7 linked regions of the Xenopus tropicalis genome follow. The protein of the gene in region 4 interacts with the protein of the main gene of each other region in a pairwise test. Links are inferred from orthologs where the notes say so. Each region holds a gene or a part of one and is shown on either strand. Other genes may lie near its edges.

Evidence for each region.
Region 1: the proteins of cchcr1 (region 4) and txlna interact in binary tests that used the Homo sapiens proteins (3 or more experiments, as listed by UniProt). The link is inferred for Xenopus tropicalis from reciprocal best matches to the Homo sapiens genes CCHCR1 and TXLNA.
Region 2: the proteins of cchcr1 (region 4) and mia2 interact in binary tests that used the Homo sapiens proteins (3 or more experiments, as listed by UniProt). The link is inferred for Xenopus tropicalis from reciprocal best matches to the Homo sapiens genes CCHCR1 and MIA2.
Region 3: the proteins of cchcr1 (region 4) and mtus2 interact in binary tests that used the Homo sapiens proteins (3 or more experiments, as listed by UniProt). The link is inferred for Xenopus tropicalis from reciprocal best matches to the Homo sapiens genes CCHCR1 and MTUS2.
Region 5: the proteins of cchcr1 (region 4) and fsd2 interact in binary tests that used the Homo sapiens proteins (3 or more experiments, as listed by UniProt). The link is inferred for Xenopus tropicalis from reciprocal best matches to the Homo sapiens genes CCHCR1 and FSD2.
Region 6: the proteins of cchcr1 (region 4) and card9 interact in binary tests that used the Homo sapiens proteins (3 or more experiments, as listed by UniProt). The link is inferred for Xenopus tropicalis from reciprocal best matches to the Homo sapiens genes CCHCR1 and CARD9.
Region 7: the proteins of cchcr1 (region 4) and hsbp1 interact in binary tests that used the Homo sapiens proteins (3 or more experiments, as listed by UniProt). The link is inferred for Xenopus tropicalis from reciprocal best matches to the Homo sapiens genes CCHCR1 and HSBP1.

Annotation. Positions count from the first base shown.
Region 1 is NC_030678.2:86,591,482-86,595,508, reverse strand, and holds the start of txlna (alpha-taxilin), read right to left. Parts: upstream 2,801-4,027; 5' UTR 2,563-2,800; intron 2,184-2,562; 5' UTR 2,175-2,183; coding exon 2,048-2,174; intron 58-2,047; coding exon 1-57. UniProt on the Homo sapiens protein: May be involved in intracellular vesicle traffic and potentially in calcium-dependent exocytosis in neuroendocrine cells.
Region 2 is NC_030684.2:90,894,349-90,897,848, forward strand, and holds part of mia2 (melanoma inhibitory activity protein 2), read left to right. Parts: intron 1-268; coding exon 269-427; intron 428-970; coding exon 971-1,105; intron 1,106-2,373; coding exon 2,374-2,420; intron 2,421-2,502; coding exon 2,503-2,725; intron 2,726-3,500. UniProt on the Homo sapiens protein: Plays a role in the transport of cargos that are too large to fit into COPII-coated vesicles and require specific mechanisms to be incorporated into membrane-bound carriers and exported from the endoplasmic reticulum.
Region 3 is NC_030678.2:154,747,922-154,752,017, forward strand, and holds the start of mtus2 (microtubule-associated tumor suppressor candidate 2), read right to left. Parts: upstream 2,801-4,096; 5' UTR 2,483-2,800; intron 1-2,482. UniProt on the Homo sapiens protein: Binds microtubules. Together with MAPRE1 may target the microtubule depolymerase KIF2C to the plus-end of microtubules. May regulate the dynamics of microtubules at their growing distal tip.
Region 4 is NC_030684.2:75,158,315-75,161,814, forward strand, and holds part of cchcr1 (coiled-coil alpha-helical rod protein 1), read left to right. Parts: intron 1-316; coding exon 317-448; intron 449-622; coding exon 623-733; intron 734-3,500. UniProt on the Homo sapiens protein: May be a regulator of keratinocyte proliferation or differentiation.
Region 5 is NC_030679.2:105,256,613-105,260,689, forward strand, and holds the start of fsd2 (fibronectin type III and SPRY domain-containing protein 2), read right to left. Parts: upstream 2,801-4,077; 5' UTR 2,609-2,800; intron 1-2,608.
Region 6 is NC_030684.2:6,411,995-6,415,976, reverse strand, and holds the start of card9 (caspase recruitment domain-containing protein 9), read left to right. Parts: upstream 1-1,182; 5' UTR 1,183-1,360; intron 1,361-1,552; exon of another isoform or gene 1,553-1,736; intron 1,737-2,634; 5' UTR 2,635-2,868; intron 2,869-3,982. UniProt on the Homo sapiens protein: Adapter protein that plays a key role in innate immune response against fungi by forming signaling complexes downstream of C-type lectin receptors.
Region 7 is NC_030680.2:62,632,887-62,636,942, forward strand, and holds the start of hsbp1 (heat shock factor-binding protein 1), read left to right. Parts: upstream 1-1,256; 5' UTR 1,257-1,272; coding exon 1,273-1,317; intron 1,318-4,056. UniProt on the Homo sapiens protein: Negative regulator of the heat shock response. Negatively affects HSF1 DNA-binding activity. May have a role in the suppression of the activation of the stress response during the aging process.

The sequences.
Region 1 (4,027 bases), on a different chromosome or scaffold from region 4:
TACTTAACTCTTCAGACACATCACATACAGTAACAGAATTACCAGCTGCTCCTTCCACTGTAAGACAACCAGGCAACACATCAGCTGATTTTAAATCGGTAAAATTGATAGTATAACCAAGTAAAGTAATAACCAAAAAGTAATAACCAAAAGTAAAGCAGAATTCACACCAATTTTGAATTAATTAAGAGGAATTCACAATACAGGTGAAGTTTTACACTGAAGCAGTAAGCTATATTAATAAAGCACTATATACCTCTGAAAGGTTAACTGCAATGAAACAAATGAAAACAAGTCCTACCTGATAGGACTTGTTGCTACATCGGAGTTAATTCTACACCTGTGTTGTAAATTCACCTAGCAAGTTTCCAAGTTATTAAAGTTAAAGTCGCTAACCTGGCCATAAATATGTACACACTAAAGAGATCAGGCCACAAATTCAGAATTGCTTATTGAACCCACTGTGTGGTGGGTCAGATCTGACTATCTTGCCCTTTTAGACCCATATCAGCTCAGGCTGATTGACCACTGGGACCGCGCCAAGTACCTGACTGTCTGACATGGAAATATATGGGCCTTTGTAATATTCCATATCAGAGTTGTTCCTGAACTTATGAATCATGTAAGGTTTGTGACATAAGGGGAGATTAGTTGCTCCGTAACAAATCTCCATTATTGTGGTGCGACTAATCTCCCCGCAGTGCCATCCCACCGGCGATTTACATTCTAGCCGGTGGCATGGCATTGCGGGGAGATAAGTCGCGCATGACTAATCTTCCAGTGTGTCACAACCCTAAGGCGTTAACAGTGACTCTGATCTCAGGGTAGTGTATAATATAAACACAGATGGAACAGTGCAACAGCTGACCAAGGGCTATCACATCATAAAATGCAGTTACTTTTTAAGTCTATCTCCTAACGCTGTTGTGTGAATTAGATACACCTGTGATGGACAAGGAGGAGACCCACAGACCAGTATGAAGTGAAGGCAACAACTGTAAACAAAGGAACAACAACAAAAGGATGCCCAGCAGGGCGAAAAGGCAATGAATAGCAATTTGCTCATACCCTCAAGGTGGTAGAACAGGTTTTTAGACCATGGGAATAAAGTTCAAGAATGAGAATCACAGTCTGTACAACACTGTAACCTACATGACACCTTTAAAGGAACAGTAACACCAAAAAATGAAAGAGCTTTAAAGTAATAAAAATATAATGCACTGTTGCCCTGCACTGGTAAAACTGGTGTGTTTGCTACAGTAACACTACTATAATTTATATAATAAGCTGCTGTGTAGCCACGGGGGCAGCCATTCAAGCTGGAAAAAAGGCGAAAAGGCAGAGGTTTCATAGCAGATAACAGATAAGTTCTGTAGAATACAATAGTGTTTTATCTGTTAACTGCTATGTGCCTGTGCCTTTTCTCCTTTGAATGGCTGCCTCCATGGCTACACAGCAGCTTATTTATATAAATTATAGTAGACTTTCTGAAGTAAACACACAACTTTTACCAGTGCAGGGCAGCAGCACATTATATTTTAGTTACTTTTATACCCTTTCATTTTTTGGCGTTACTGTTCCTTTAATACCATTATTTGGGAAACTAATCATCTAAAGGACACTACTAACTTGGAGAATTCTATGGGTCATCATACAACATCAACCTAGCTGTGACTGTTCTTTGGGTGTGGCTATCCTGGGAAAGGGCTAGTAAGAGTTATGCTTAGTTGAATGGTATCCCTCATGTATATAAACAGCATTTGTTAGTGAAGTACTTTTCTCTCCCTTCTATTGCACCTTTTCGTTTCCCCTTTTACCTCCCTCCATTTTAGTTTCCCCTTTTCCTTTTCTTTTACTTTATTATTTTGTAAACACATATACCACTTATTTAAAAATCAGGCTACAGGGTGGAGCTTGAGAGAATAGTCTAAATGACTGATAACTTTAATGAACTAAAGAAGGTCTTGACCAAAGGTTGAATCTTCAATGCTGGAAGGCAGAACTGAAAAAATCCGACACCCACTATAAAAAAAATGCTACTACTAACCTTCAGTAGCAGGGTGACAAACTCCAGGTGTAGTCACGTTCTCATCTGTGGCTGGAGGAAGTGAGGGGCTTGATGAGGTAGGGGAAGGCCCTTTGGCTGTGCCATTCTCCAGTTCTTGGTCCTTCATGACTCACTTCTAACAAAAGGTAACAGAAGCAAAGTATGGCATGTAAACAAGAAACTTCACGTTTTTTTCTTAAGAATCTAGTTAACCCTGTATGTTTGTAGGTATAAAACAATTCAATCAATGAACCTTGTTAGCATTAACCACTAACTTATCAAGTAGTTAACCACCTAGAAATAGATAACTCATAAGCTGGCACATTGGATATGCATAGCTCAATGTGCAGAGTAACTCCAGGTCCGGCCCATGCCATGACAACCCTTACTAATGTAGGTTTTGGGGCAACTACTAGTCTGCATAATGGGCACTCCACACCTAAACTGAAGATTTGCATCCCCCCACATTTTATACTTCTTAATTGTTTTATTTATGCAGGGCCACTACATGCTACCTGTTGTCAGCAAACTTGTATGTTGTCCTTGTCGCTCTACACACGGAAGCTGCACCTCAAGCGATGCAGCAGTATGACAAATGATGTAGTTCTGGTCTGTTCCTTGTGTAAGCGCTGAACTGTACACTTGTTTCACACAAAGTTGTTGTCCCTGCCAGTGAGGTTGCGCTGACTCCTTTTCCCGGAGGACACGATTAATAACCGGATTTACCTCACTCTTGCATCCGCTCCGGTAACGCTCACTCTCTGCCGGAAGCCACAGGCACAGGCACAAATCCAGGCCGCAAGCCGGACACTTCTTAGCCAATGACACGCAGCTCCAACAAGCCTAAAGGCCAATGCGCTCTCAGAGGCGGGTCTAACGGAAACCTCTGCGTTCGGAAGCAAGATTTATCGGCGCTGCTGTTGATTATAAGGAAACAGAAACTGTATAGGGCGGTAGCAAAGGCGCGAAAGTAAAAACTACAATTCCCTATAAGCCTTGTTTGTGCGCAGTCGTACGCATGAGTACCACCTTTTTGTGCGCTCGTTTGTTATATATAACTAAGATTCATTAAACTGTGACCCTTGATTTGACCCTGTTCATATAGTTTTCTCGTTTTAAACAGGTTATATTTATAAAAATAAAGCAAAGGCTTATTGAAAGTTTTTTAACATTTCTAAATTGAAATAATATGCCCTTGATACCGTTTCTTTTTATTAACATTGTTAGTTTGTCAGTCACAAGAATAATGATACCTCAAACATTGTTTCCATAACTAATAACATATTGACCCCCAGTATTTCATAAAATCCTAGTGGCCCTAGCAACAAAGACATTAGCAAGATGGGGCTGCTAGTGGGGGTCACCCACTCAAAAACGTGTGGCCCATTTTGTTTTCAATGCGGCCTTGCTAACTGCGATTTTACTGTGGAACTCACTGTTTTTCCAAAATGCAGCTTTTTTCCCTCAGAATTCCAGCATTGTTGTTCTCACATAGGGACGTTGCGCCTGACACAATTGCAGGCACAAGCAAAACCACGCCAAGCCCAACTATAATGAAAATGTAATAGTTTTATCTCATGGAAATGAAAAAAACTTTAAAAATATAATCAATTAAAAATTCTGCTAATATGCTAAGGGGCATATTTCTTTTATTTGGGCACAAAATAAAATAAATATGCTGGTAGGTGGCAGGGGCCTACCACGCAGGGTCCCTGTGTGACCAGTGGGCAAATAATTGGAGGGGAGGGTCCTGCTTAGTAGTATGGGCCTCATGACTACTGCTGGCGCACTCCTTTCCCATATCACAGTATACTTTCATGGTATCACATTTACAATTATTACAGCATTATTTATACTACTTTTAAGGTACCTTAGTATTAACTGAAGGCAAAGCTCTAAATAAATTTTTGGATGTTATGGGACATCAGACGGTAAAGGTGGGGGTCTATGCAGAAGAAAAGAATTGGGCTGCAATGATTA
Region 2 (3,500 bases), about 16 Mb from region 4:
ATATTTATATCCTTAAAAATCTGAGATTTGATATTTATGTCTGGGCTTCAGTATCTAGTGAGGTGGGGTTTTTTAGGTGTTGCAGCAAATGGTTGGTTAGTGGAAATGAAAAGGTATAGAACAGGCAAAGTATGCATCTGTAGTTATTGCAAGATAGGACATTAAAGGGTACATATCAGTGAAAGGTGTAGTAATGGCATATATCTGTTGCTTGTCTTTATGCAGTTTATTTATGTATGTCAAAATAATTCACTTTCTTTTTAACAAGGTGTGAGACCTCCTGGATATTACCCAGCACATGGCGGAGTTAAAGAACGTGGGGACATAAATGCTGATCGAAAGGCAGATCAGCAGCGCACACATTCTGATGCTGGTTCTTTATCACCTCCATGGGAGAGAGACCATAAAGCCAGTATGCCACCACCAGGTAAAAAATATAGTGCCTTCTTTAAAGTGGGCAAAGTGACAAAAAAAATAAAATAAATAAATATAAACTCCTTGAAGGATTGTTAAATTGTCATATATAAGCTTCTTGGTTTAGCATGGACCTCAGGGCGCCATCCAGCTGTAGGATCCATTTGATGAATTCTTTTAATTTGTCCATTTAACGCAGTAGAAAAGTACATGAACATTATTTAAAGACAAGGACATTCAGGTGAAGCTTTGAAACACAAGATGGGGATAATATTAAAAACGCAAACCCTAGTCCCTTTCTTAATGGAATCCTGGTGCTTATTCATGTGGCAACCACTCAGTGATAAGGAAAACACAAATGCACATTGGAGCAAGTACAAAGTGTGTCCATATAGTTTTATCAGGTTCTGCCACCTTGTGCTTTTTCTAAGCCTTGGAACATTGGGATTTGACAGTGTAATGCTCACAGTTTTTTTTAAAACTTAAACAACATTGACCTTCAAATAGATTTTGGTGTATATTAATAATTATAATATTTAATGCTAAATTTTTCCAGGTTTACCATATCCTGAGCTACCCTTCCCATCTAGAAGGCCAGAAAGATTTTATCAATACCCTGTATCATCAGGACGATTTTCAGGACCAGCAGAACTCACTAGAAATCAGGGGATATCTTTCACAGATCTGCCAGGTATGCTACATGTAGAATATTTCCAGTATATGACTGCCACACTTAACAGTCAAAATTAAGGTTACAAGATTTTCAAAGTGAAATCTGGTGACACATGTTGAGGTTAGGCTTGCAAAGCACACCCCACAAGTTTTTTTGTAGGTCTTACCATAAAACAATAATACAACCAAGCCATAAAGTCAAGGTATATTTCATGATTACCAAACTAATCAGATGTGTAGCAGTATAAATACAGTGCTAACTTCATGTTTAATTTTGCTAGGTTACTTAGCAGTATAAATGCAGTGCCAGATTCAGGTTTTAATACCCTCAGAACTTAAAGCAGTATAAATGCAAAGGCAACATCATATTTAATGTCCTAGAACAAAAGGAAGGAAAAACCCAAATTGTCCAACTGTCCAGTTTCCCTCTTAAGTCAAAGACCCACTTGCAACAAGAAAGGAAATTATGTTATAGTTATTGCTAGCTTCATTGTTTATCAAAGTGAATATGATATCTCTAATCACAAATGTCCAGCTGGCCTGCTTTCCTCTATAATTCTCTACATCCCTCAAAAACCAAATGATATCTTATAGATAAAACCACATATTACATTTTATTTAAATATCTTTAAAAAAAAGTACTTCCCTTTCTCATAAAAACGTAAACAGGAGGATACAAGAGGGCCCCCCCCCTACTGCTAACAATGTGCTACCAATTAAAATAGAAGTAATGGGGTATCACCAAGCACAATTTTTAACCACAGTATTGAATTCAAAAGTTCCAAATGGTAAAAAGGCTAGTAGAATCAATCCTGGTACTCGGTTATACCAATATCCAGTGGTTTTCAAGATCAGTGGCATTAAATAAAGCCCAGTAGTAGACTGTGCAGCCTCTAGGTAGAATTGTAGTTCAACAATGGCTGTACAGGGATACAAACACTTTTTTGAAAATTACTCTCCCTGTTCTATGACCAGTATAGCTCCTGTGAGGGAAGCTTATTCAATCATATTTGTCACAAAGTTACTTATATTGTACTTCCGTTATGAAGTTGAATAAACAAGTAGCACCCAGGTTTCCACAGCATAACTAGTCCATAAAATTATACTTATCCAGTGTATGGCTGTATGGCTGTTAAACCTTCCAGGACATCAATAATAGTTCGTTGGGATACCAGTAGAGTCCCAGTGGCATAACAACCCTGCATCGGGAAATCCCGGAACCCTACCAAATTAAATGAGTTTATACTTGAATATGTGGATAACTGTTTCTTTCCTTCCATGGTTTAGATGGTCAATCAGCTAACACAATCAGGAATGGATCTGAAGATAATGATGTATGTATGCAGCCATGTGGTATAAACTTTTCAGTGATTCTCTGGAGAGGCAATATATGTAGTATTTCTGTTTATCTTGCAGACTTTACATGGTAGTTCCAACCAACCACTTCTTAAAGAGGGGGAAACAGCTGATGTACCACCAATGGCATATGCAGTCCATCCCCTTCCTCCAATGCGGGTTCCTTTATTACCAATGGACCCTAGAGGACCTTATTTTAGAAGACCTTTTCCAATGCAACCACCTCCAGTTGACATGTACCCACCACCAGAATACCCAGGAATACCACCAATTCATGCTACAAGTAAGTAGTTAATTGTTTTGCTGCTTGTACTGTTATGGTAAACCACACAACAGAAGCAGCATAGGTAACAGCTCTCTCCAATATCTCACAGAAATCTTAACATGGATTTAGTATATAGTTTAATTCTTCTACAGTTCATCTATTCTTATTCTTTGAAAGACAGTAACAGTAGGAGGTATAGTCTTTACTATAAAAATGGCAAGATATCCAAACTTGTATATCACATTTGCATTAAATGCACTTTGGTAAGTTTAGCGTGCATATCTCTATTTTATTGTATTTGAAGGGATGGTTCATTTGAAAATCATACGTCCTAACGCTCATCCAGGTTAAATAAAGTTGAAATCAGTTAGTTTACACTCTGTGTTGTCTCAAACACCTGGGATTAAGGGCCCTAAGCCCATGGGAACTGCTATAGTCCTCTTGTAAATGATTTCTTATTGAAACACATTTCAATGGGTGATGGGGGAATCATATTACTAAAAACCTGTGGTAGTGCACAATCCGTGACTGTGCCGTCGGTGTAGTCGGTTAATCCCAGGGTCGGTGACAGGGTAGCTCGGAAAAAGAGCTGCTGAGCTGACATCCTGGCATGATGGCTGGAACTAGGGGTAGACTACGTGTGCGTAGAGTAGAGCCCTGTACATCTACCAGTAATTATAAAGAATGATTGCTACGTGTATGGCCAGCTTACTGAAAGGAAATCTTTTAGCATTCCCTAATACAAAGTTTAGATGAAATGTGTCTAAATATTTTCAAGCTCGTGTTTTGCTTG
Region 3 (4,096 bases), on a different chromosome or scaffold from region 4:
GAGCGAATCTGTTCCGTTTCGCTTCGCCGAAAAATTCGCGAATCTTTGAAAAGATCCGCGAAACGCCGAAAATGTCGTGCGACAAAAAAAATTGTCGCCCGCGGCTATTATTTTGTCGCGCGGCTATTGTTTCGTCTCCCGCGGCTATTGTTTTGTCGCGCGGCTATTATTTCGTCGCGCACGGCTCTTGTTTCTTCGCCTGCGGCTCTTGTTTCGTCGCGCGGCTCTTGTTTCGTCGCTCGCGGCTATTGTTTTGTCGCGCGGCTATTATTTAGTCGCCCGCAGCTATTATTTTGTCGCACGGCTATTGTTTCGTCGCGCGCGGCTCTTGTTTCGTCGCCCGCGGCTCTTGTTTCGTCGCACGGCTCGTGTTTCGTCGCGCGGCTCTTGTTTCGTCGCCCGCGGCTCTTGTTTCGTCGCCCGCGGCTCTTGTTTCGTCGCCCGTGGCTATTATTTTGTCGCGCGCTATTGTTTCGTCGCCCGCGACTATTATTTTGTCGCCCGCGACTATTCTTTTTTTACGCCGGCGACAATTTTTGGACGTGCGGCGAATTTTTCCGTGGTTAAATTTTTCATCCGTTTCGCGAAACAATCCGCCAATGGCGAAACGCGGAAATTCGCCGCGAATCCATGCCTGGCGAAACTTTTCGCCCATCACTAATAATAGCCTCTGGGAAGGGACTGGGGCTGTGGGATAGCAGGTATAGTAGGGAGAGATGGTGCCTATAGTAGCAGTGGGATAATAGCCTCTGGGAAGGGACTGTGGCTGTGGGATAGCAGGTATAGTAGGGAGAGATGGTGCCTATTGTAGCAGTGGGATAATAGCCTCTGGGAAGGGACTGTGGCTGTGGGATAGCAGGTATAGTAGGGAGAGATGGTGCCTATAGTAGCAGTGGGGGGATAATAGCCTCTGGGAACAGACTGTGGCTGTGGGATAGCAGGTATAGTAGGGAGAGATGGTGCCTATAGTAGCAGTGAGGGGATAATAGCCTCGGGGAAAGGACTGTGGCTGTGGGATAGCAGGTATAGTAGGGAGAGATGGTGCCTATAGTAGCAGTGGGGGATAATAGCCTCTGGGAAGGGACTGTGGCTGTGGGATAGCAGGTATAGTAGGGAGAGATGGTGCCTATAGTAGCAGTGGGGGGATAATAGCTTCTGGGAAGGGACTGTGGCTGTGGGATAGCAGGTATAGTAGGGAGAGATGGTGCCTATAGTAGCAGTGGGGGATAATAGCCTCTGGGAAGGGACTGTGGCTGTGAGATAGCAGGTATAGTAGGGAGAGATGGTGCCTATAGTAGCAGTGGGGGGATAATAGCCTCTGGGAAGGGACTGTGGCTGTGGGATAGCAGGTATAGTAGGGAGAGATGGTGCCTATAGTAGCAGTGGAGATGACAGCTTCCAGTAGGCTCTGGAAGTGAAACTGAACAGAAAGCATTACTATCAGTATTGTCTTGGTGACAAGAGATACTTCATTGATGCAAGTTCCGGCACAACCAACTTGTCCCTAAGTATTCCTCATTCCCTTCTGAATGCAGAAACTTTTAATTTCACAGTACAGAACCAACAAGATGAGTCTTTGTGTCACTGTAATCGATGAGTCTATTTATCACAGAACTCTGCAAATGCTGATAGCCATTAAATGTAAGAGTAGATTTGTCAATCCTATTGAATAGCTTCCCACATAAAACTATGGATTTGTCTCAACTCCAGTACTTCCGCACTTCAGTACTTCCAAATGCAAAAAATAATCACCTTCTCCCCTTTCCTTTTATCTAAGAACTCTTTTTTTGTAAATTAGGACTATACTTACATACAATAAGAATTGCACTCAATGTTGCTATATAGTCAAACAATGTTGCTATATATATATACTGTATATATATATATATATATATATATATATATATATATATTATAAATATATATATATATAGTAAACAATGTTGCAATATGGAGTCAAATGTACACAAATATTTATACACTTATATAACTCTCTTCAAGTTTCAAAAAAGTGACTATTAAGGGCAGTGTAAAGGGTAAGTGCTTACACTGCTATTTGCCATAGCCATTCTTGTATGAATAGGGGAGTGCTGTCCATATCATTTAATAACAGCTGGGGGACCCCGGCTCCCTAAGTGAAACATAGAATAGGGCTGTACATATAAGGTACAGGCAGGGAACACACTTCTGCCCAGAAGTCATTTACCATAATATCAAGGGGCCACAATAACACCTCATCTTACTAAGCCAATACACTATATAGCCTGATGTACTGGCCCAGGGACTGGACCTTTATACATAACCCATTAAGGTTTAGGTGTTGGTGCTGAAGTACAAGGTACCACTTCTCAGTATAAAAGTAAAAGGGATGTTGTGCCAGACTGAGGATGCTTCATGCTCTGTATGCACTGCAGCCCCTGTAGTTGCCCCCAGTACTGAAGCAAATGCTGGAATTGCCTCCCCTTCCCACTCATGCCCTTACCTGTTCCTGTGCTGCTCCCACGCATAGTGCCCAGCCAGTGGGTGAGGGCTCCGGAGAGGGGATCTCTACCTTGGGGGGAGGCGCCCCCTTCCCTGCACAGACAAAGAGCCCACGCCGGAGGGTTCCAGGGAGATGCTGCTGGGGCTGCTGCTGCTGGGGCTATTCCCCTGCTGCCCTCCTGCTCCCAATCTAACGCAGTGTCACAGAGGGGAGAGTTCGCTCCTAAGCGCATCCACAGCCTGCAGTATCTCTGACCAGCGACCCTGAGGATGCAAAGAAGCAGCTGCGACGGGTCCAACCTCGCTCATCCCGAGCGAATCCGCTGGCTGCATCAGCACTCTCTGTTTATACTACGATTGGGGAGCCGCGGCGCCCTCTGCTGGCCCTACTGGGAACTGCGCTCGGGTAAACCAACCAGAAAAGAGCAGATGGGAGAATGGAGTCAGGATAGAGATTTGTTCCTTTATCTCTTCTTTTTATTGTGGCTGCTCTCTGTATCCTTAGTCTCTATCCTTGCACACTTCTATAGATATCATCGATATTGACACTTATTGGATGTGTCTGGTGAGGGTAACAGTCCCCAGTTAATAAATGGCTGCCAGGTAGCTGCTGAGGCGACCTTATTAGCAGCTGCGCTAGGAATAAACTGGGATAATGGGGTCAGTTAAGGACAAGGAGACAGAGCATTAGCAGGGTATATACTATTGCTATTTTATTATAATGGATTCATACATACTAATTGCCAGCATTTGTTTACAAAGTGTAGATATTTTATATAAACATATGTTATACATGTGATGCCCAAAACTTTTAAAGTTTTTGTTTAAGGTACACAGGTAAAGTAGGGTAGGGTTGCCACTTGTCCAGTTTTTACCCAGGCAGCCCAGTTTTCCGATACTGTTTGGGTAAAAACTACTAAATTAGGAAATCTGGACAGGACTTCAAATTAAATGGTGTGATGATCAGCCAATCACTGATTGCCACATCATAACCCTACTCCCTGATGTCATAGTCACACCCTGGAATGACATCCATCCCATGTCCTGTAGAGTGCTGGATGCTTACTTCTTGGGTTTAGTGTAAGCAGTGTCGGACTGAGCCAGTGGGCCCTGCCGGCCCAGACCCAATCCCCACCGGAGCACCCCTAGTCCAGTTATTTCCCTCCCCCAATGCGCTGAAGTTAAGCTTAATTAATGGGTGCTCGGTGGAGGGGGGTTGGGCAGGTGGCGCCCCCTGCAGGTGTTGTGGGGGCTGCTGCAGGGGCCCCTGCATGGGTTGTGGATTCGACACTTAGTATAGGCATAGGATCTGTTATACAGAGTGAGTTCGGTGGGAGTGAGTTCTTAGCATTCTTGAGGGAGGGGGAAGCAGGAGAGGGGAGAGAGCAGAGAGCTGCGTGTCTCTCATTAATTACAGACTCGAGAAATCTTTTGACAGAGAATTCAGTGCAGCATTACTGTAAGTGCTTATGGCTGTATTTACATAGACTTTTCTGATAAAGCTTACTTAGTTTTTACCTTTCCTTCTCCTTTAAGTCTGCTGAAAATCATTTAAACTTTAAATAAACCCAATAGGATTTCCACCAATAAGGATTCATGCATTTTAGTTGGGATG
Region 4 (3,500 bases):
TTTACGCTTGCCGAAAATATCCGCCTACGCCTCATCTGCCATTAGCCTAAAGGGTTGCAATGATAAGGAAGTGCCTGCTTATGTAAATGCTGGGCAGCATAAAAAATAATAAGGTTGCACTCACTAACTGTGTGTATTGTGTTTGTTCTTTCTTACATTATTCTGCATTTGGATTGCTGTGAGCGGTCACAAATTGAATAAATGTTAATAGCTCTCCTTGTTTTATGCTCCGTGTGGCATGATGGCACTGAGACTGCAATCAGAGCTAAATAATTCAGTTAATTTATGCAAACCTAAACATGGCTTTATTTTGTAGGGCGTACCCCAGGATTATGAGAAATTTCAACATCTTCTGTCAAGATGGCGTGAGAAGGTTTTCTGCCTCATGGTTCAGCTTAAATCTGAGGAAATCAACAAAGAAGATGACCATAGAAAAAGCAGAGAAAAAGTAAGAAATGGAAGAATGGTGTTGAATGGAGATTGAAAAAGTTGTGTGCGAGAGATATTTAAAAAGCAGTGTGTCAGTAAACAATGCACAGACATTTCTGTGATTGCAATTCAACTCTCTTTTGTTCTTTGTTTACAGTTACATTTTAGCCGGCTTGTTTTTCATTTATTGTAGATCTTATCCCTGGAAAAAGCTCTGCAAGAAAAAGATCAGGAGCAGATTTTACTTTTACACACCCTACAAGATCGTACAGCTGAGCTGGAAATGGAGAGGGTCCACAGTAAAGTGAGTATGGAACCTTATAAATTGGGCTTCATTGCAGTACTTTTAAGGTTAAGGGCAGTGGTTAGTTTTCCAACAGTAAATAATAAAGCTTCCCAAAATTTCAAAAAATGTTCTATTCGGAACATAAAACTGTTTGTGTAGTTCAGTATAGTCATCAGCCTTTATTTGTGTTAGTTTTATGTTTAATGCAGATGCTTAGGGGCTCATTTACTAACCATCTATTTTTTATTTTAAACTCAATTCAGATATTTTTCGACATTTACTATGCATCTAAACGGCTAAAAATCCGAATTTCATAATTTGCCTGATTAAATTTGCTGAGTTCATGTAGAAGTTAATCGCAAAGGTCCCTTCTCTTAAGGTTCTTTCTTTTATTTCAAAACCTTTGAGATTTTGCAGGGTTTTGTATGAAAACTCGACTTTTTCCAAATTGTTGCAGTAAATTTTTTTAGTAAATATTAGACATTTGGGAAAATCAATTTAGTTGAATTTGAAAATAGAAAAAAGTAGAAATTATGGCATTTTAGTAAATCTGCCCCCTTAATGTTTGTTCTGTATACAGACTAGGGATGCACCAATCCTTAAAATCATGTGACTTTTTGTCTCACAATCGTAGAAGCTGAAAAGTTTTCAGCACACACTACATGCGTGGTTCTCTTTAACCCTTCCTTTACCTAATTTACATATTAATTCCGTATTCGTTCAAATCTTTGGCAAAGTATTCAGGGTTCAGCCGGATCCTAAAATAGTGGATTTGGTGCATCCCTGGTACAGACTTGTTAAATAATGCTTTGGGTGGCTAATGTCAATACTTTTGCATTTAACTTGGTCATTTCATCTAGTGCCCCCACATGGCAAGTCACTTGGCTCATTTAATTAGCTTGTGTGTGTTTGTCCAAAAAATCTAACAAGATGCATCTCTTTCTGCCATTATTTGCACATTGCCATAAAAAGCAAATTATGTCTGACTTTACATTCCCGGCATTCCTGGCTCTGACTCCTGAAACAATGTTGCAAGCAGGCTAATTAAAACGACCTGGAGGTCACTAAAATATTGGCCAATAGGTTATCTACTCTAGCCCCTATGCTAATCCACCCTGACCAGGTGGGTTTTATAACAGGGAGACAGGCTGGAGATAACACCAGAAGGGCAACTGTATTACTGGAGGCAGCACAAAAGCTAGGCAAACCTATGGTATTTTTAGGGTTGAATGTAGAAAAACGTTCTATCGCTTTAGCTGACCTTACCTATTTTCCCTTCTAATACATCTTGCCTTCAAGGGCCCTTTCCTTACAGCTATACAAGCATTATATAACTCTCAAACGGCCCAGCTTAAACTCCTGGGCAAGGGTGCCCTCTATCCCCTCTTTTATATGCTCTAAGTATAGAGCCCTTGGCAGCATATATTAGAGACCACCCAGATATTCAAGGGCTAAAAATCTCCTCCACAGAATACAAAATAGCATTGTTTGCAGTCAATGTACTTCTATCAATAACCAGCCCACACACATCACTCCCTGTCCTCCATAGTATCCTTAGCACCTATAGCAACCTGTCAGGATATAAGATCAATATGGACAAGTCAGAAGCTCTTTCACAAGGTATGCACCCCATGACAGCTGAAGCACTGAAAGAAAAATTTGCCTACAAATGGAAAACAGATAAACTTACCTATTTAGGGGTCTGCCTTACACCTTTTATATAGTTCCCTTCTTAAAGGACATGTAAACCCCATACACAAAAATTTAATCAGTGATCAGCCTCTTTTAAATCTTTCAGTATGTGCCACACTGGTTGTCCAGAGGTTAACAGTTAGGCTTTAACATTGCTTCTCCTCCTGTAACCCACTCGGCCCCCTCCCTCAGGAATTTGCTTTGGCTGTTGGCTTGTGGGCATGCTCAGTTTTTCTAAGCTCAGATTACTAAACATGCCCCCAGTCTAGCAGCCAGTGAAGAGATGGCATTGCTGGTTCCCATAGAAACTCAGCTCTAGCTGTCTGCTTCAATTTTTTTTTTTCCTGAGCTCAGCTTTACCTACAGTGCTCAAACAAAGCAGAACTTTTATCAGAGACAGTTCTGCCTGTGTGAGCCTGTATTGTTGATGAAATTTATGCTGCATAAGGGTTTTTGTGTGTGTGTATGCTGTTTGCAGATTTAAATGTAACTGATTATGTATCAGAGGAAAAATGGCCACCGGGTGAAAGCAGCTATTTGCTTTAGGAAAATGTGATGGTGCTGGCTAGCGGAGGGGTATATATGCAGTACAAATGATGCCATTTGGGTGGGGGTGATGTGCCTAACTGATATACATTGTAGGCAAATGTAGGCTTTACATGTCCTTTAAGCAAAATTATTCTCCCTTGATTCACCAAACAAAACTCACGCTACATAAATGGTCAAACTGGTTTGGTCGTATTGCGGCAATTAAGATGAATATCTTACCTAAATATTTGTATTTATTCGAGACCATTCCGGTGACAGTACCTACTAAAATGATAAAGGAAGTTCTAAGTGCTTTGTAGAAATTCATTTGGGGTAATAAAAGGCCTAGAATTTCCAGATCAATCCTATTAACCAATATGTTACAAGGCGGCTTAGGAGCCCCCTCTATCCAAAATTACCATGATGCAGCTCATTTAAGGTGGATATCCGCATGGTCCCACTATCATACAAGCCCCCTATGGGCTAAAATTAAAAACCCATACCTACAGCCACAACTGATGAGTTCCTGGATCTGGACCTCAGGCCCTTATAAGGCCTTCCCAAA
Region 5 (4,077 bases), on a different chromosome or scaffold from region 4:
TATTTGCTAGAAGTTTATAAAACGGTAGACCCCTTGAAGATGTAGTTTTGAAAATATATTTTTCAGTTGAATCATCTCCACCTATTTAGGCTCAATTCAACAGGTATTGAGGAGCTCTGGCACCAGCAGAGACCCAATACAACTCAGGGTGATATAAGAGATGGAAAGGTGGATATAACCCAAACCATGTACTCAAGGCCAACCCCAGGTCAGAGCAGAAAAAAAAAACTATGCAGATCAGTTGAGAGAAAAAGCAGAGTAGCAGGAAGAGTTTTAGTAGATCCTCTAAACAGAAGTTTGAGCAACAGGTAAGGTTATAAATATACCCTTTAGAAGGCAAAACATGAGGAAACAGAGAATCAAAAGGATCAAAGGTATCAAGAGTATCAAAATGCACACACAACAGTGTTCCAACAATGACACAACAGTGAGTTAAAGGAATCCAAGCACAAGCCTGCCAGAGTGGGGCCTTCACAATACCCTTGAAATATAATAAATAGGATTTTTTTACACAACAGATTGTGCGGTAATCTGCAGCAGTAACAATCATTCAATAAGTAAATGACCACTGTAATAAGCAAATCTTAGAATAAGGGCTCTGGTACACGGGGAGATTAGTCGCCCGCGACAAATCTCCCTGTTTGCGGGCGACTAATCTCCCCGAAATGCCAATTTCCCTGACGCGATTTCCCTGAAATCGTGGAAGTTGCCTTGAGAGGAAACTTCCACGATTTCAGGGAAATCGCGTATGTCATCCCACCGCCGATTTACATTTTCGCCGGTGGGATGGCATTTCGGGGAGATTAGTCGCCCGCGAACAGGGAGATTTGTGTGCCAGAGCCCTAACCTGTAAAATATATCCTTACTTGTTAAATAGACTATCGATAATTAATTGCGCTAATTGCGCTATAGATAACATGTATAGGTCATTCAGGCAAAGCACAGCATTTCAGGGGCATAACTAGTCCTTAGGAGCCATTTAGAACTGCAAGCACAGTTGTACTCCCTTTTTTCCACACTGAGTTGCACATTAAACCCAATTCATTAAGGTACTTTCTTCAAAATACTCTTCTTGCACGTCCATATAGTTGTGCCCAACATATAGATGTGCCACTGCACTTGCAGACATACTTGACCCATATTAAAGTGGTGCACTTCACCAGAGTGCCAGGTGTCAAAATATAAAATATAGCTCATCTAAGCAGTGTATATCTTATTGTAACTGTATGTATGCAGCACAATCTCTGACTATAATATACAGTAGTTGTTTGGGTGACACCAAATTCTATATTATGAAAATTTTATCTGACTTTATAGCTTCTCTTTCATCAGAACATAGAATGGGCTTTGCAGTTTAGGCTTGATCAATATGATCCCATTTAAAAGACATAGTAATAGTAATGTAATAGTTAAAACAAATTCTATATCAAATCTTGGGTTGCAAAAGTAGATACTGTGACATACACTGCAGGTAAAACTAATCCTATATAAAAAGGTAACTTGTAGGGTATACAATAAATACTATATATTTGCCATCCATAGACTGGGCCTTTCAGCAACCAGATTAAACATGGCAGAATTGTTACATGATCCTCATAAGAAATAACGTAGAAATAAAATAAAGGCCCCCATACACGGGCCGACTATAGCTGCCGATATCGTTCCCTTGGACCGATTCGGCAGCTAATCGGCCCGTGTATGGGCAGAACAGAGCAGCCTGGCCGACCGAGATCTGGCCTGAAATTGGCCAGATCTCGATCGGCCAGGTTAGAAAATCCAGTCGGATCGGGGACCGCATCGGCTCGTTGATGCCGTCCCCGAACCGACTGCCCCATAAACTCAAATGTTATTTTTTTTTAAGTCCCTTGCTACCCGATATCGCCACCCGTAGGTGGGGATATAGGGTGAAGATCCGCTCGCTTGGCGACATCGCCAAGCGAGCGGATCTTATAGTGTATGGGCACCTTGACTGTAGTTAGGGCATTAGTTGCTCTTTATAAAAATATAAAGCCATAATTCAGAACTGATTGGAATTCAAATACAGGCCACACAGTGTTACACAAATCTGTGTAACACTGTGTAATTAATGCACTTTTCAGCAGCAAGCACTGCACTGCTCTCTCTCAGTGGCTTTGTTTAAGTATTTATGGTTACATGTTTTACACCTTTGGTGGGGGTGCACACTGAGATTGAGAGTTGAATCTGTAACCCTGGACAGCACAGTTACCTTCACTGATTGTGTTACACAAATCGAACAACACAGAATAGCCCAAGACAACTTTTTAAAATATTATATGCTGAAATTTCAATATATAAGATTCTGTTGGTTAGACACAAGAGAAACAGTTCTCACACTTACATAATCATATGTAACCGGAAAATGTTACAGAGCGTAAATCAATAAAGGACTGTAAAATTATGAGCTAAAATTAGACCTCTGGATTCTGACATATTTTTTCACAGGCCAGCCAATAATAACAGTAATTTTACTAGATTTTACTAGAGAGGGTTATCAAACTATAGTAAGTCATTATTGTACAGTAAATTACACACACAGGCTGAAGTAGCCTGGGACACACAAAGATACATGGTACTTGTGAAGATTTACCTGCTGATCCAGATTCTACGCTGCTGATAAAATATATAATCACATACAGTAGATTCGCCGATGTGTCCCTGGGACTGAGGCTTGAAAAGGCCAGCAGTAATTTTAGACAAAGTGCCCTGAAATACTAATGTCCATGCAGTGAGAGAGACTGACAAATATAGAATCTCCCCCAGCTGTCCTTCCCCTGCTAACCCTGCTCATGTATCAGAGGGAAGAAGCAGAGATTTGTGCCCGGGAATGTCTCAAACATGTCAGAGCAAGAGCTGGACAAATGCAAGCTGTTACATATATTTAACACACACACACACACATATATATATATATATCTATAAAGATTTCCTATGGCAGCACCACTGAAGTAGTAAATCCATGGCAGTAGAGGTAATCAACACCCTTAAATCATATAGAGAGTGCAACAAAGCATTACTGTTATTCTTTGCACAAAATCACACAACAGTAATAAACAAGCTCCAGACGTTAAAGTTTCTGAAGAATCCACTCCCTTTATCAAGTTGCAAATGTCTGATTAGCCTACCAAAGCTTCATAGCACGTCAAGTCACATATTACAGTCACATGATATAGATATTATACAGAAAAAACTTAGGTCCCATTGTAGTCTACAGACCAGCACACACTGAGTATCATTTAATAGATCCCAAAAGGGGAGGAAATTACAGCATGTAAAAAAAAAAGAATTTCTATATAAATATAGAAAAAAAACAGGGACGCTGCCATGAGGCAAGTAAGAAATTTGCCTCAGACTGCAATGCCCCAGTAATTACCAGGAGTGGCAAAATCTGCTCCTGGTAATCTTATAAGCCTAATTTCCTACTTATTGCACTAGAAATTCAGCTCTTATAGTGCAATTGCACTCTAGCAATCTGGCACCCCAAAGACTACTTCCAGTGCAAGAAAGGTAATTGCTGGGGGGTGAAGGTGGGGGCAGCATCTCAAGACCCATCTCAGAAAGGCTCATGTCATAGAATCACCCCTGAAATAAACAGAACAAAAAAAAAATTGAAGAAATAAATACCTCTGCATTTAAGTATGTTTGTACAGTCACCAACTTGTTGTCACTTTGCAACCTATTCCAGCACAACAAACAAAATTTAACAATAGATCTATGTTGTAAAATCTGACTGATCACATACTTGTAGTTTTGCTTGGATATATACAAGGCCACAGGGGCATCGTATAAAATAGCCAGATTGATCAATATTACTAACATTGACTACGATTATTGAACATTGTAATGCAATTTACATTGTGTGCAAGACCCATATTTGAAATTTTCTCAGAGATCCTAAAACCATAAGGGCAGTGGCAGGTGGCAAAAATAACATGTGGCAGAAATATCACAACAGCTTGCTCCTAGATCATATGCTGCTTTATTTTCTGAAATGCAGTCTGCAACAAATCTTTGTTACCGCGGGCGAATAATCTCCCCCAATGCCATCCCACCGGCAAG
Region 6 (3,982 bases), about 69 Mb from region 4:
TCTCCCCCATGTACCGCCTGCACCTTGCCTCTCCCCCATGTACCGCCTGCACCTTGCCTCTCCCCCATGTACCGCCTGCACCTTGCCTCTCCCCCATGTACCGCCTGCACCTTGCCTCTCCCCCATGTACCGCCTGCACCTTGCCTCTCCCCCATGTACCGCCTGCACCTTGCCTCTCCCCCATGTACCGCCTGCACCTTGCCTCTCCCCCATGTACCGCCTGCACCTTGCCTCTCCCCCATGTACCGCCTGCACCTTGCCTCTCCCCCATGTACCGCCTGCACCTTGCCTCTCCCCCATGTACCGCCTGCACCTTGCCTCTCCCCCATGTACCGCCTGCACCTTGCCTCTCCCCCATGTACCGCCTGCACCTTGCCTCTCCCCCATGTACCGCCTGCACCTTGCCTCTCCCCCATGTACCGCCTGCACCTTGCCTCTCCCCCATGTACCGCCTGCACCTTGCCTCTCCCCCATGTACCGCCTGCACCTTGCCTCTCCCCCATGTACCGCCTGCACCTTGCCTCTCCCCCATGTACCGCCTGCACCCTGCCTCTCCCCCATGTACCGCCTGCACCTTGCCTCTCCCCCATGTACCGCCTGCACCTTGCCTCTCCCCCATGTACCGCCTGCACCTTGCCTCTCCCCCATGTACCGCCTGCACCTTGCCTCTCCCCCATGTACCGCCTGCACCTTGCCTCTCCCCCATGTACCGCCTGCACCTTGCCTCTCCCCCATGTACCGCCTGCACCTTGCCTCTCCCCCATGTACAGCCATCTTGGAACGACACTTCCCATATGGAGATCAGATGGGATGCCCAGCTTTGCCATGTTTGGGAGTAGCTCGCTGTGGGTATAGGGTGCCAGGGGTGAGACAGTGGCGCATACTGGAGATGGTGCCCCAGGGGAGTCATTTAGTGCGAGGAGGGGAGAGATAAAATCATAGAGAGGAAAGCTTGAATGGATAGACATGGCGGGTGTGATTGGGCCATATACATGGTTGCCCAGATAGCCCAATGGCCTGTGTGAGGGGACAGGGGGGCACATCTGTCCATCCATACACCCCCAAAATAAGTCACTGACAGCAGAACTGGGGCAATCGAAACTGACACCCAAGGCAAATACCTTTTGCCCCCCCCTTCCCCTTTAATCCACTTTTATCCCAATTTTCACTCTCGGAAGACTCCTCCGACCCCCCCCTCTCTTCTCTCCCGGCCTCCAACGCCGACTCCCCAATCCCAGCGGAACGGCCGAGCCACATGCAGCCACCGGAAGCCACGAGCCAATCAGTTCCGAGCACGTGGAATTCCCAGTGACGATCTCAGGCAACCGACATGTCCCAACGGGTCCGGTATCTGCCACAGGTTGGTGACGACCCCCCCCCACCTTTGTTTAGCAGATCCAGGTGTTCTGTGTAAAGGCCAAACCCATTTCCTCTTGGAATTATGGGAAGGTAAAACCTTCAGGATCCTGATTGGAGGGTCCTGTATGCACATATAGAAACCGTAGCCGCTGGGGGAGGAGCTAAATAGTAAGGGGGAGTAGCCAATAACATTGGGGGGGGCTGTATCCGTGTGGGTTGATTTTGGGAGCAGGTTGGCCGAGTGTGTGCGAGGTCAGCTGACCTCTAATGGGTGCAATTAAGCCAATTAGTGAGCACTGTAGGCATCCGCCGGTCTCTATTAATTGCCCCACCCGGCCGTGCGTTCTTGATGAATAAGTCCTTCCCCCGTGGGTAAGGTAAGTCGCTAATTGCCCTCGTTACTTACAATTAAATGAATAATTACAATTAAAGGGAAAGTACACCTTCTTTAGCCACGTGAGTGGTGTAATGTGTCCGGATGCCGAGGCTGAATGCCAATCAGGGTGGAATGTGGGCTGTGTGGCATATTTGCTCTCCTCCGAATTCTGATAGGGTGACTTGCCATACCTGGGAAAGGGGGGGGAGCTGGGCAAATGCTGCTCGTAAAGGGGCGGTTTACCTTCAAGGTAATTTGTGTATGTTATAGAATGGCCATTTCTAAGCAACTTTTCAACTGGTCTTCATTATTTATTTCCTATAGTTTAAATATTTGCCTTCTTCTACCAACTCTTTGGGGGTCACTGACCCCGGCAGCCGGAAACAATTGCTCTGTGAGGCTCCAGTTTTATTGTTATTGTTACTTTTTATTCCTTATCTTTCTATTCAGCCCCTCCCCTATTCATATACCAGTCTCTCATTCAAACCACACCCTGGTTGCTAAGGTAATTGGAGCCCCAGCAACAGGGTCACTGACCCCGGCAGCCAAAACCTATTGCTCTGTGAGGCTCCAGTTTTATTGTTATTGTTACTTTTTATTCCTTATCTTTCTATTCAGTCCCTCTCCTATTCATATACCAATCTCTCATCCAAACCACTCCCTGGTTGCTAACATAACTTGGACCCTAGCAACCAAATAGCTGCTGAAACTCCAAACTGGAGAGCTGCTGAGCAAAGTGAAATAACTAAGAAACTACAAATAACAAAAAACGAAGACCAATTGCAAGTTTTCTCAGAATAGCACTCTCTGCATCACTAGAATATTGCACTGTTTATTGCCCGGTGGCTCATTGGTCATTAACGTTCCTAACCTCACTGCCTCTCCATGTGACTCCCCAGCAGCAGCAGCCGTGCAGCCAGTAATGGGAAGTGATCTCTGCAGACTGTGAAGCTGCACTGTGGTATGCGACTGTGTGCAGACCAGGAAGTCATTTCTACACAGCCGCCTTCGCCCCTCCCAAACCCCCGTGCTCTACACCTCTCCTTCTCTCCTTGCCATTCCTGCTCTCTGACATGGGACGGAGTAAGACGCTTGGCTGAAAGCTCCCAGACGGACCAACTGTTCTAGAAGAGGTGAGCTTACCCTTTATTGTAACCCCCTCTCCCAGGCCCCAGAGAGTTAATCTGATCTCTCTTTCTTATCGAAATATATATAACTTTGCCTTTAATTCAGTGTAACTACTGCGGCTATTTAGAAACTTATGCTCTGTGTGTATTTAGCACTTACCCTATCTAACCCATTCTATAGCACTGGTCCAGTCTGCAGGGAGGCAGAATTGTGTACAGAACCATGTACAGAATTGAATTTTGTAGCTGGACCATGTACAGAATTGAATTTTGTAGCTGGAACCATGTACAGGATATAATTTTGTAGCTGAAACCATGTACAGGATATCATTTTGGAGCTGGACCATGTACAGAATTGAATTTTGTAGCTGGAACATGTACAGAATTGAATTTTGTAGCTGGACCATGTACAGAATTGAATATTGTAGCTGGAACCATGTACAGAATTGAATTTTGTAGCTGGAACCATGTACAGAATTGAATTTTGTAGCTGGAACCATGTACAGAATTGAATTTTGTAGCTGGACCATGTACAGAATTGAATTTTGTAGCTGGACCACGTACAGAATTGAATTTTGTAGCTGGACCATGTACAGAATTGAATTTTGTAGATGGAACCATGTACAGGATTGAATTTTGTAGCTGGAAACATGTACAGGATATTATTTTGCAGATGGAACCATATACAGAATTGAATATTGTAGCTGGACCATGTACAGAATTGAATTTTGTAGCTGGAACCATGTACAGAATTGAATTTTGTAGCTGGAACCATGTACAGAATTGAATTTTGTAGCTGGACCATGTACAGAATTGAATTTTGTAGCTGGACCACGTACAGAATTGAATTTTGTAGCTGGACCATGTACAGAATTGAATTTTGTAGCTGGACCCTGTACAGAATTGAATTTTGTAGCTGGACCATGTACAGAATTGAATTTTGTAGCTGGACCATGTACAGAATTGAATTTTGTAGCTGGAACCATGTACAGAATTGAATATTGTAGCTGGACCATGTACAGAATTGAATTTTGTTCCTGGAACCATGTACAGAATTGAATTTTGTAGATGGAACCATGTACAGGATTGAAGTTTGTAGATGGAACCATGTACAGAATTG
Region 7 (4,056 bases), on a different chromosome or scaffold from region 4:
TCTGAGATATGGTGCTGACAGCCTACAGCAGTGTGAAGACTACAGTGACATCACTGAAATCTCTCTTCCCTTCCTGTAGGCTGCCAGCGGCAGCCTTCCTATTCTCTGAGCATGTGTGTAACTTGATCCTGTCTCCTGTTCTGAGCTACACATGCCCACCAGCCAATCAGAAGCGGATCTGGCAGAGGGGAGGGGGGGAGGGAGTGAAACACATGTGCAGTATGAAGCAAGGAGGGAAAGGAAGAGAGAATACCTTTTTAGAGATGGCTGCCTGTTCTAGAAAATGTGAAGTAAGTGTGACTGAGTAAATATTTGATTAGGTGAGCCAAAAGTGTGGCGTTTTTACTAAACAATAGGAGGACTATTGGGCAGTATGCTTTTTAAATTTTGACTTGCATTCTCCTTTAATCTGAAGTCATGTAAAAGGGTATTAAGCAAATAAATGGAAATTCTGTTTAGCAGGGACAAGATCATAGAAGAAAATGTCTAAACAGAAACATTTTCAACTTCCGGGTTTATGTGGCAAAAAGTTTTAAGCATTCCGATTCAGTTCGACCAGAGACATGGGTTCACCAAATCCAAATCCTGCTACAAAAGTCAGAATCCCAAACCAAATCCTGGATTCAGTTCATCCCTACCTACTTCATACCTTACCTTCCTTATATTTACTTGAGGCTGTTGGACCTGGATAATTACTAATACATGTAATCAATTGAGAGACATTGTTTCACAATAGGCAAATAATGCGATATGCTAAAATTAAAAACTGTGACGCTTCATTACATGCATATTGGCTGTATAAGTATATTGAATACTTGGTCCTGCACTATTATTTTTATTCATTTATTTTTTAGTTTCGATTTTAAGGGGTCGAATAAAAAGTGGCCCTGCATTAGGATTGCTTTTCCCGGCAAGTTATGTAACTAAATAATCTTCATCAATACACATGTTTATGTTAAAAGCACCCATGAAGCGGAACAGATCTCCTAGAAACCTGGCGGCCCAACCCAAGCTTCTCAGCGTTGTAGTTCGTTTCCTAAGCGATTCGCTCCTGTCACCATAGAAACTACCTCGTCAACCACATCCGGCAACAACTTTGCGTTTATAGCCTCGTTCTAATACTACTACAACATCCTGTGGGAAATTCCTACTCTTGATGCCTATTGGTCAGCAGTCTCCTGAACTATCGCGATATTTCTTGAAAAAAAGCTTCTGCGGTGAGGGGTGGATTGTGTGGCCGGAAAGGGCTTTGGTATTGGAGAAGGATCCATTATGTCGGAGACAGATCCTAAGACAGTGCAGGACCTGACCGTGGTGGTGAGCGCAGCTTTTAGGGCGCGATGTGTTAATGATTATTAAATGATATAAAACTAGGAGCATGGTCCCGCAGTAATGGCCAGTCTGCTTGCAGATTGGAAGTCGCCTTTGTGGCCCTTCTGCCATTAATGTTTACATCTCCCATCACTCTTTTGCTTCTCTCTTTTTTTTTTTTTTTAATACAATTTTTTGTTTAAACTAGGGATTTACAAGACCTGTCATTTTTGATTCGACCAAATATTGAATCCTTTACAAAAGATTCAGCTGATTATAAAACCACAATAGAATCAGAATCTGTATATGTGGATTTGAGATAAATCTCCAATAAATTACACTAAACTGAAAAAGGGGCACAGCCCAATGCAGTAAAGACTTGGATTTAGTTGGAGCAGCCACATAGATGTGTCCCTATTTTAAAGGACAAGGTTATTTTTTCTGCTCCTTTTAACAAACAAAAATGCACTGGCCCCGGGGAACAACGCAGCTCGGCTTCACCATTTTACCTACCTTTGCAATGTGTTTATCCTAATACAGGTATGGGACCCATTATCCAGAATGCTCAGGATCTGGGGTTTTCCAGATAAGGGGTCTTTCTGTAATTCAGATCTCCTACCTTAAGTCTGCTAATAAAATTATGTAAACCGTAAATAAAACCAATAGGATTGTTTTGCCTCCAATAAGGATTAATTATATCTTAGTTGGGATCAAGTACAAGGTTCTGTTTTATTATTACAGAGAAAAAGATAATCATTTATAAACATTTTGTGAATTATTTGCTTATAATGCAGTCTATGGGAGAGGGTCTTTCCGTAGTTCGAAACTTTCTGGATAATCGGTTTCCAGATAAGGGATCCCATACCTTAACTTGTATGAATCTGAAAATTTTACTCTTCTGTGCATCTGAGTTTAAAGTGAGACACCTGGGAAAATGAAGTAAAAGTGGCATTGCAGTGCTGCATTGCTTAGTGATTTAGTAAGGGCAAGACTTGACTTGATTCGTTTTTAATTTTTGGAGTTTCACGAATCAATTTTTTAACAATAAAAATAGTGTTATCATTGTTAAATATTTGTATGTCATTAGCTGAAAACTTGCTGCTCGGTATATATCCTTTTTGGTTGTGCAAGACTTTAAAATGACCAATAACAAAAAAAAAAAAAAGGTGGCAGTACTTTGTAAATGTATTTAAATCTAATAATGTCTGCTCAGAATTGGCAAGTCATTTCATTCACCATTGTTTTTTTTTTTATAAAAATATTTTTCATTCCTAGAACGCTGTAGAAAGCAGTGAATTACAGTTGACAACCCCATTGGTGTACACAAAAAGCCCATTGTATTCTGAATACTTTATCTGTTGTCTGCTTGGCAAAGTGGGCCCTACGCGTCACTGCGATGTCCCACAGTTGCCCAAAGTTTCCTCTCAAGACAACTTTGGGCGACTTCGGGACTTCGCAGGGATGCATATGCCATCCCACCAGCGATTTACATTCTAGCCGGTGGGATGGCATTGCAGGGAGATTAGTCGCCCTCAGCCCTGTTGTATGTAACAGTACACTTAGAACAGTCAATAACCTTTTGGAACCAAGTGCTGTAATTTTAGGAAACAAACATTTCATTGATTTTGGCTACAATCACCATATATGTTTGGAGAAAAAAGAATAAGGGTCTGAAGAGCACCTTGCCACTAGCTTGTGGATGGTTCTGTTGGGGTTGTGTGGCGAGCCAGTGTGGATAGATGGAAGTATAGATTCTACCTATAATCAAAATGTTTTTGGTCAGTGCACTTCTCCAGGTGTCCCTAGTAAGGATTTAACACTCGTACTTGTGCAGAAGAATTAAATGCACAAACCAGTGACAACTGGCAATAGGTTAGTCACATTGCTGCATTATTTTTTTTCTAAAGGGATGTCCAAAACAATATGCACATAACATGTTTTTTTGTAAGTAAATAGTAATTGTGCTTTAAGATTTGCAAGGATTTCAGGGTTAATACTTTTTAACTGACATGCACGTAGCATCATGCCAACATGATAAAACATACATTTTTGGGGTCTGTGTAACCCTGTGCAAGAATCGCATTTCCTAATGCTGAATATGATGATCTCTTAAAGGGTTAAGTGTGTCGTTCCCTTGTTCCACTGTTAACTAAAGTTTCTCAAGTCCCCACTACCACACTCATTCCTCAGCTCATTATTCCTTCAATGGAATTTCTACCAAGACACAGAATCCTGCAGTAGTAGTTAAAGGAACTTTATCAGGGATCCCTGATAACTGCACATTGCTTCTGCATAAACTTCTTACTGCTCACAACAAAGTAGGTAAATGATCAGGGGGTGCCCAAACTTTTGAACATGACCTGACTGTATGTGGGGAAACCTATATTTGTATTGATCACATATAGCTTATTAATTACGTAATTTGTGACATTCTTATAAAAGTGTATTCTGGAACTAAAGTAGAATTGATTTACATTATATAGCCAAACATATCATCTGACATGAATCTGACATGATATTGTGGTTGAGGGTGCCAGGCCGGTCTTGCAGTTTAGATGTTGCTGTGGGTGGCTTTATATGGAAGGTTAATGCAGGTTGCTGCTGATTTACCTATACACTTGTTCCATAGAGTCATTGTATGGTACTGTATAACTTGACAAGACCAGTTCTGTATTGCGCTGCAATATACATGCTTAGGGTATTACTGCCCATGATTTATGTGTTTATCAATTTATTTGCTCACAA